Linked DNA regions of Arabidopsis thaliana. The protein of the gene in region 1 interacts with the protein of each later gene in a pairwise test. Each region holds a gene or a part of one and is shown in the gene's direction. Other genes may lie near its edges.

Region 1 (5,409 bases):
CCTGAACGATGGTGGGACTTTTTATTACAACATGTTTGATGCAAATTACGACACCCTAGTCCACGCGTTGGAGAAGAATGGGTTTGGTAACATGCCTATCATTATTGGGGAAATTGGTTGGCCTACTGATGGGGACAGTAATGCGAATTTGGACTACGCTAAGAAGTTCAACCAAGGCTTTATGGCTCACATCTCAGGGGGGAAAGGGACTCCGAGGAGACCTGGCCCTATCGATGCATACCTGTTCAGCTTGATAGACGAGGACGCCAAGAGTGTTCAGCCAGGATACTTTGAGCGACACTGGGGGATATTCACATTTGACGGCTTACCAAAATATGCCTTGAACCTAGGGACAACGAACACAGGAGCTCTGATCCAGGCCAAAGGGGTACGCTACCTAGAGAGGAAGTGGTGTGTGATGAAGCCAAATGTGAGGTTGGATGATCCGCAGGTAGCTCCAGCCGTGAGCTACGCGTGTAGCCTTGGGGACTGTACTAGTCTTGGGGTTGGGACGTCCTGTGCTAATCTTGACGGGAAACAAAACATATCGTATGCATTCAACAGTTATTATCAGATACAGGATCAGCTTGATACAGCTTGTAAGTTCCCAAACATATCAGAGGTGACCAAGACAGATCCATCTACTGGAACTTGCAGATTTCCGATTATGATAGAACCTTACTACGGTGGGGCAGCCCGGGAACACGGGTTCTTTTTCCCACTACTGATGGTGGCAGCCATCGCAGTCTCTATTTTTTGATGGTTTCTTCTTGTCAATTTGTAATTCTGTGTGATGGCTTGAACTATTTTTTTTTCTTCTTGAATTCTGATTTCTCTTCCTTAGACCAAGTGATTATTAGAGCTGTTTTCTGGGACCAAACTGACCTTAAAACAATGCCATATTGCCATGTTCAATAAATCAGGCCCAAATGAGCATTTGAATTTGTACTATAGTAGTTGGGAAAGTCTATTGCGCTCTCTTTCTCCCTGGAGCTCTGTTTCATAAATGCTGGAGAGACTGTCCTTTTGTTGTTTTAGACATCTATAGTACTACAGATTTGTACAACTTCCAATTCTTCATATGAAGTTTCCCTTTCTCCTTGCTCTCGTTCTTCTAGATAGGAAACTAGGAGACGATTATCTAATTTCTTAATCTTTGAGTCCAATTGGCACTATGCACCACTCCAAAAAATAGTCTTTGATCTGATTTCCACTACCACAGAGACTTATTTCCAGTTTCCTTCCATTTGAAGAAATCGAATGGTAATAATAATCTGAGTATAAGAAGATCACAGAGTTGTCGATTTCTTCAAATGGAAGGAAACTGGAAAATAAGTCTCTGTGGTAGTGGAAATCAGATCAAAGACTATTTTTTGGAGTGGTGCATAGTTCCAAGGGTTTGGTGATGGATAAAGTTAAGACTGTTGGAGACTCATCAGCAACAATCATCTGTGACGCAGTTTTCACATTGGTTGTGATTTCAGATAGAATAATCAAGAAAATGGCAGAGTAATCACAAGTATGACGATTGACTAAGAATGTGGAGTAATAAGAGTCGACGGATTCGAATGCCTGAATGTGATCAGGTCAGTCCATTGCATTTGTCGAATTCTCTTTTTTTTTGGAACTGAGACCATACGCGTTATGTCAAAAATCAGATTTTTTTTGTTTTGTTTTGGTGCATTCACTTAGAAGACTAAAAAGGAAAAACATTTCTATGGAAAATAGGAAATGCATATATATAAGGAAAGCCAGGAAAGGTTGAAACGTTGGGTTTGAACGTTTATTTGCGAGTAAGGAAACAAAATGGGGACATTTACATTCACTTTACGAAAAGTTTGTCTTTTGTGCTCAGATAAGGCAAGATTCAACCAACAAAAGAGAAATTAGAGGAACATGTGACTCTCTCCACGTCCTCATTTATGGAAATATGAGCAGAAACAGAAGGAAATTTCTAATTATTTGGAGAATTAAGGGCCAGATTAACCGCGTAATCACTCTCTCTTTTGGGCCACTCGTCTTTATCTTTTTACATTTGTCTATAGGAGGACTATGGTCTTCTTCTAGTCCCAAACTTGAGGTTTTAAGAATAAAACAGATCAGATTTTAGTCTATGTACTATATTCCTTTGAAGAGAGGAGACTTGCAAACGTATTGCATCAAATATGGAGTTTGGAAGCACTGAAGATGGAAGGCATGACAAGTTTCCTGTAGGAATGAGGGTTCTTGCTGTGGATGACAATCCAACCTGCCTTCGGAAACTCGAAGAGTTGCTGCTTCGTTGCAAGTATCATGGTACTACATATTCTTTGCTTTTGTTTTTTTTTACCTGTCTGCTTCGGAATTGGGGTGCATGGTCAATGATGTTTGATTGATTACGCCAGTGACAAAGACAATGGAGTCGAGGAAAGCTCTGGAAATGCTGAGAGAAAACAGCAACATGTTTGATCTGGTGATAAGCGATGTAGAGATGCCAGACACGGATGGTTTTAAGTTGCTTGAAATTGGTCTTGAAATGGACCTTCCTGTCATCAGTACGTCTCCTACCATTGTTTTTCATATCAACTCTAGCCCTTATTGTAACCTGCTTCATTGTCTCAGTGTTGTCAGCTCATAGCGACTATGACAGCGTTATGAAAGGTATTATACATGGCGCTTGCGATTATCTGGTCAAGCCTGTTGGACTCAAGGAGCTTCAGAATATATGGCATCATGTTGTGAAGAAGAACATTAAATCTTACGCAAAACTGCTCCCACCTTCTGAATCTGATTCCGTCCCAAGCGCCAGCAGGAAACGGAAAGACAAAGTCAATGACAGTGGTGATGAAGATGACAGTGACAGAGAAGAGGATGATGGTGAGGGGAGTGAACAGGATGGTGACGGGTCAGGTACGCGGAAGAAGCCACGTGTTGTTTGGTCTCAGGAGCTTCACCAGAAGTTTGTCAGTGCCGTTCAGCAATTGGGCCTCGACAGTGAGTTTCCCCATAGACCTCTTTAAACCTTTCCTTATGTGTGATGTCCACTCTTGTTTCTCCTATAGAGTTATTTTGATGCTTTCATGTGTGGGATCCTCTTTTCATTTCTCCTTGTGTTCATCACAGAGGCTGTTCCCAAAAAAATACTTGATCTCATGAGTATAGAAGGTCTCACTAGGGAAAACGTAGCCAGTCATTTGCAGGTACTAATTCCCCATTCTCTCTTGCATTTTTCCCCTTCTTTCGCAAATATAATCTTGGATGGTTAGACTTGTTTTATTCTCTGGTTTTGGTTGCAGAAGTACAGACTGTACTTGAAAAAGATAGACGAAGGTCAGCAGCAAAATATGACCCCAGATGCATTTGGAACAAGAGATTCATCTTACTTTCAGATGGCTCAACTTGATGGACTTAGAGATTTTACTGCCGCAAGACAAATTCCAAGCTCAGGACTCTTATCGCGTTCCCATCTCACCAAACTCCAACCCCCTATGTATTCATCGATAAATCTCCAAGGAATGAACTCCTCCAGCTTCATCCAACAGGGGCATCACCAGAACTCAAGCAATTCAGCTAATCCGTTTGGAACATATCACAGTACTCTGTCACCAAGAATCCAGAACGTGAATCTGTTTCAGCGAACTTCATCTCCACTAGAACCCCTCCAGTTTCCTAGAAGCAAGTCATACATTGGAGATTTTAAAGGCTTAGGGGACAGAGCTATTGGCGGTAGCTTCCTAGATACTTGTATGCCATTTGGTAGCTCTAGCACCTCTTTACCAAGTGCTTCCACCAATCCTCTAATGTTGCAAGCAAACTATACACAACCCCTGCATATAGCCTCAGATGGAATTCAGCCTTGCATCGAGGGAACTCCGTCCAACTCTGCCTCCCCAAACATCAGTTTCCAAGGCTTATCTAGATTTCCTGGTCATAGCTGGCAAGGGAATTTGAACACAACCAGATTCCCACCGAGTTCCTTACCACTAAATCTTGCTTTCTTGCCGGATCAAGTGACATGTGCAGGGAACAATCTGGGAGATTGTACTTCTTTGGTTTCTGCAGAGAATCCTGGTGGAGAGATGCAGTGTGATCCTCAATTACTTGGCGGCTTCATGCAGAACGTGAATCCGTTAGGCGGACAGAAATGGGAGCAACAGAACTGCACCATGCTGAACAATCCATTCGGTAACATTGAGTATCCTCTACCCGCAGATAACATGGTTTTCAGAGACAACAATTCAACCAGAAGCAAAGGCTTGGATGAGTCACTGATGAACCCAATAGACAACAGTCAAGAGTATGTTGGAAAAGCTACTACAATGCTGGATCCAGAGATGAAGTCGGGAAAGCCAGAGAATGACAACCAGCATGATGTATTCGATGACATAATGAATGAGATGATGAAACAGGTAACGCGGTTGTTTTCTTGATTGGATTAAAAGCTTTTGTAGTTTGTAGAAAATGAAAGTGAATGTGTTTGTTGCAGGAGGAGAATAACGGAATGGTGCCAGTGGCTACTAGATTTGGCTTTGATTCATTTCCTCCACCTTAGCTAGTCATCTCTTTCTCTACCAGTTGCATTAAGTTTCTCCACTTGAGACCATTTTCATGTGATTTTTTTAAATTTCTTCCCACATTGTTTCCTCCGACTGTCAATAGATCATAGTACACCAACCTGTTTCATACTCTCTTTTATGAATTGGAATTGAAAGCGAGCCTGTTACAAAAATTTATTTTATAAAGTTTCTGAATAAGTGTTGTTATTCAAAACCAATATACGAATAGTAATGGGCCTAATTGAGATCGTTGGTTTACATATGGAGCTATTTTGAAGTGTCAACAAGAAGAGATATTTAGATGTCGATAGGATAATTTGGTGGGGCCTAGAAACGGCTAGAGGAAGTCAAATCAAAATGTGACTGTATGGCCCATTGTATTGTATCCTTCTTCCCACAGAACAAGGAAGACATTTGTGTCCTCCACCTTTATTCACATTTGTAACTGCTAGACGCTACTAGAACCCTTGCCCTACACGCTTTCCACGTGGCATCCTCTCGTCCCAGCGAAATCTCCTTGATATTATTTTTTTATTTCCTTATAAAGAACAGAATCTCTTCTTATCCTTTTACCTCAAAGAAAACATCGAAATCTTAGAGAAGAAGAAAAGAAAAAGAAGAGAAATGACAGAGAAGAAAGAGATGGAAGTGGTGAAAGGGCTCAACGTGGAGAGATACATGGGCCGTTGGTACGAGATTGCTTCTTTCCCATCAAGGTTTCAGCCAAAGAACGGCGTCGACACTCGCGCCACCTACACCCTTAACCCCGACGGTACCATACACGTCTTGAACGAAACGTGGAGCAACGGGAAGAGGGGTTTTATCGAAGGCAGCGCCTATAAGGCCGATCCTAAAAGCGACGAAGCCAAGCTCA
Region 2 (4,271 bases), about 15 Mb from region 1:
CTTCAATCTCGTTCACGTCATACATGATCTTTTACTGGAATAATATTTTAAATCTGTAACCAGAAAGATTCTAAATATAATTACTACACTAAATATTATAGTATCAAAAATAATTTTTAAAAAAAAAAAACAAATAAAGATTCAATTGGTCCCTCAAAACTGAAACTAAAGATTCTAGTGTTTTTTATTTGGTCACATAAACTTTGATAAAATTCATTTGGTCACGAGAATTCTTGTTTTTGTCATGAATTTTAAATGAGAATTTTTGTTTGTTCTATAATACTTTTATCTACCCATGACCAAAAAATATACTAACACAGTTATATGATTTGAAAAGTAATTTCTGAAAACTAAATCACCCCAACTACTCTAGTGATCACTAGACATAGAACAACGTCTTTTTTTTGTTTCTCTTTTCCTTTGTTTATAATTCCTTTCATCTTCTTTTCTTTTTCTTTGCAAAACCTCGTTTGGAGATTACAAGTAGAGTTTGTAGAAACAGAAAAATTACTTCTTCTTTTTTTGCTAAAAGAAAACAAAAATTACTTTTGTGTTCATAAACTAATTTTCATTCATATTTTCTGTATTTTAACTTACAAATTTAGCATGTGCCTCAAGTAGAAATTCGTTTCTTACAAAAAACGTATATCAATCATCATCTAAATTACATGAAAATTTTCAACATCACTAAGGATTGAATTTTAATTGTACTAGTTACTATGGTTACTGAATTGTACTGTAGTCGGTAGATTGTAAACATTGTAGTCCACTATAGGTTCGAAAGTTCTAGTTAGTGAGAAATAATAATTTTAAAATGCTTTTGGATTCTATTTTCGGATCTAAACAACTTTTGTTTGTTTAAAGACACATTACCTAGTTTGTTTCTTTTTATTGTTTTGTTGTGAAATATTTTAACTTTTTAAAGGAAGTGCAGATCAAAAGAAAGAAAAGTTGGTTTACGCATACAAAAGTTGATGAAATAAAAAGTATTTCTGGTGCTGGAGGAAAGAAATGTCTTTTAGATCTGCTTTCCAAAAGCATATGGCGAAAAGTAAGAGTAAACAAAGGACGAAGCATTTTGTGTTGTTCGTGTGACCGGAAAATTCTTAAGTTTTTCTTTTTGGTGTTGTAGTAGTAATGAATGATAATAAATATTTTAAAGATTTTTACTACATGATACAAAGGTGTAAAAAACTGAAACAATATTATCAATATTTTTCCTTCAAATATTATCAATTATTTATGAAGATTAGTTTTTAGTGTTTTATGAAATTATATATTCGGTAAAACATTTACCGTAAAAGGTTAATTTATTCATTTTCAATGTTTTTGTAGTTTCATCATTGGACTATGCCCCTTGTATATTAATCTTAAATTAGTCGTTAAGTACTTCAAATTCGAATTCAAACAGGTTATGTAGTAGAGTAATTTATGTAAGTGTAAGGTTCTTGACATGTGCCAAGAATACAAATGTACATGAGTGACAATATTATTATCTAAATATTTTCAAATATTTAAAAGCTTATTTCGAAATATTTTAGGATCCTTTTATGAATATAAGCTGCTTATATATATGCCTATAACATTCATTTTCAAATCAAAAGCTCCAACATATTAATGAGCTGACAAACAACTTAATGTTTGAATTCAGATATGATTTATATTGAAAGAGTCTCCAGCTATCTTAGATAGTCTCCCTAGTTAAGGGATTAAAGGTTATCATTAGCATATAATTGGTACCATAATATTCACCAATACTACAGAGCCTAATATACATCTCTGTGGCTTTGCTTTTCTATTCTCTTTTGTTATTGTTGTCATTAAAGAAAAAAAAAGTTGGAAATGAGGACGTTGCATTGACAATGCAAATTCAATTTTGCTTAGCCATTAAGAAGCTTTTTCACAACTTTAGTAAAGAAGAGAGACTTATATAAAGAAGATGTCTATCACCACTTACTCTTCCCCTCTCCTCTCTTTTCCAACCAATTCTCTTCTTTCTTGTGTGTTCACATTCAAAGAAAATGGATAATCACACAGCTAAAGACATTGGTATGAAGAGAAGTGCTTCTGAGCTGGCTCTACAAGAGTATCTCACTACAAGCCCTCTAGACCCTTGTTTCGACCTCATGAACCGGGTTAGTCCTTTTGTTGTCTCTCTTATTCGTATCATTGTTGCTTGTGTCTATATCAAGATCCAGAGATATTGTAGTAATTAAGAGTCTAGTTTCTTTTGGTTGTAGGATTACACTTGTGAGTTAAGAGATAGTCTTTTGTGGTCTGAGGGATTGTTTCCGGCTGGACCTTTTCGCGATGCACAGTCCTCAATCTGCGGTATGTGCATGTCTCTTTGATTTGACTCCATGTAAGTAATAAGTGTTGTTGCAGTTGATATTAATGTTCACTACTTGTGTGGCTCTTATCTACAAAGAGAATCTGTCAGCTGATAGTCCAGTGTCAGCCAATAAACCTGAGGTAAGAGGAGGAGTTAGGAGAACCACAAGTGGATCTTCTCATGTTAACTCTGATGACGAAGATGCCGAGACAGAAGCAGGGCAATCTGAAATGACTAATGATCCCAATGATCTGAAACGTATTAGAAGGTATGTTAGGTACCAATAAAAAAGTTAGATGTAAAACACTGAGATAGAGAATCACCAATTCTTCTTAATCTTTTTCTGTGATGTGAATTCAGGATGAACTCAAACAGGGAATCAGCAAAGAGGTCGAGGAGAAGGAAGCAAGAGTACTTGGTAGATCTTGAGACTCAGGTAAGGTTAACAAATAGCTTGTTGGATGATTTGTATCAGAGAGTAATGTTTTAATGGTGACCTTGTGTTTTCTTCAAGGTTGATTCTTTGAAAGGCGATAACTCAACACTGTACAAGCAGCTCATAGACGCAACACAACAGTTTCGTAGCGCTGGAACAAATAACAGAGTTCTCAAATCAGATGTTGAAACTCTGAGAGTCAAGGTATCATCTATCACTTGCTCTTTTCAATTTGGGAAAGTAATAACCGGAATGTGCTAAGTTAAGTAAATTCTATATAGGTGAAACTAGCAGAAGATTTGGTAGCGAGAGGGTCACTCACTAGCAGCTTGAATCAACTTCTACAAACTCATCTAAGTCCACCATCACACTCCATCAGCAGTCTGCACTACACGGGAAATACCTCGCCCGCCATTACAGTCCACAGTGACCAATCTTTGTTCCCTGGAATGACACTTTCTGGACAGAACTCAAGCCCTGGACTTGGTAATGTATCCAGTGAAGCTGTTAGCTGCGTCTCAGACATCTGGCCATGACTCTCTTTCTTCAGAACATGTAATGATCACTCAGCGAATTTCCTGTATGTGTTTCGCTATAGAACTAGAAACATATAATGAAAGCAGCATGTTCGTTAAATAAACTCAAGTTTCGTCAACATATACTTAATTGCTCCAAATCCTGCAGATTGTAATCTGGAAACTGAAGCATGTATAGGCCAATAAATTACATTCTCCAAGGAAATTGCTTAAATGTGTTCGCTTAAGTAAGTATACAGACAAACAAACAAAAACACTGATCCATTACACTTTACTTTCCAGCAATTTCTATTAGCTATTTAAGGCGACAGCTATGCATGTTGTAACATGAGCAGACAAAACTTACGTCGAAAACCAACCTCAGTTGATTAGAGGCGTACCCATCTGCGAATCTGCACCTATATCAGTTGCGAAGTCCTTAGGCAATGGGATATTTAATTCCGAGCAAACAAGCTTCACAATATTAGCCGTTACACCTCCCATAGACATCTTGTTCAGTGTTACTGCAATGGAAAATCTGTTGTTGATGTCACAGAAGCCTGTTGATCCTCCTAACCCTGAATGTCCAAAGCCAACCAGAGACCCATCTTGAGAAATGGCGCGCTTAAAACCAAGCCCAAACTTTCCATCAGGCACTACTAAGCCACTGTAGTCTCCAGCACCCATGAAAGCATCATGGATCCTCGGGTTGCTAAACATATTATGAATATCATGTTGATGATCATCGCTATTGATCTCAGTTTTGCCAGCAGAACTGTTAGTATCAACTAGCCTGGCTAAACTTTCTGTATTTGACTCTCTGCTGCTACTAGCACTCATAAACTGTTTCTCATCATAAAGCTTCCTCTCTTGATGATCTTTTGATTTACCCTTTTCTGTAGCTGCCATCTCCTTACCCTTTTTCTTTTTTGTTGTGTCTTTCAACGACGTGAATTTCGGAACATGGGTGTGGCTACCTAGTGGTGGC

What was found. The genes of interacting proteins can lie anywhere in the genome.
Region 2: the proteins of RR18 (region 1) and BZIP9 come close enough for resonance energy transfer, tested with the Arabidopsis thaliana proteins (one study listed by BioGRID).

Annotation. Positions count from the first base shown.
Region 1 is NC_003076.8:23,500,907-23,506,315, reverse strand, and holds RR18 (response regulator 18), read left to right. Parts: upstream 1-2,146; 5' UTR 2,147-2,165; coding exon 2,166-2,295; intron 2,296-2,384; coding exon 2,385-2,534; intron 2,535-2,601; coding exon 2,602-2,973; intron 2,974-3,102; coding exon 3,103-3,179; intron 3,180-3,275; coding exon 3,276-4,388; intron 4,389-4,465; coding exon 4,466-4,531; 3' UTR 4,532-4,711; downstream 4,712-5,409. Other genes in the region: AT5G58090 (O-Glycosyl hydrolases family 17 protein), read left to right, coding at 1-760; TIL (temperature-induced lipocalin), read left to right, coding at 5,160-5,409. UniProt on the Arabidopsis thaliana protein: Transcriptional activator that binds specifically to the DNA sequence 5'-[AG]GATT-3'. Functions as a response regulator involved in His-to-Asp phosphorelay signal transduction system.
Region 2 is NC_003076.8:8,513,238-8,517,508, forward strand, and holds BZIP9 (basic leucine zipper 9), read left to right. Parts: upstream 1-1,962; 5' UTR 1,963-2,021; coding exon 2,022-2,135; intron 2,136-2,240; coding exon 2,241-2,331; intron 2,332-2,428; coding exon 2,429-2,600; intron 2,601-2,692; coding exon 2,693-2,768; intron 2,769-2,846; coding exon 2,847-2,972; intron 2,973-3,049; coding exon 3,050-3,304; 3' UTR 3,305-3,432; downstream 3,433-4,271. Other genes in the region: AT5G24810 (ABC1 family protein), read right to left, coding at 3,665-4,271. UniProt on the Arabidopsis thaliana protein: Transcription factor.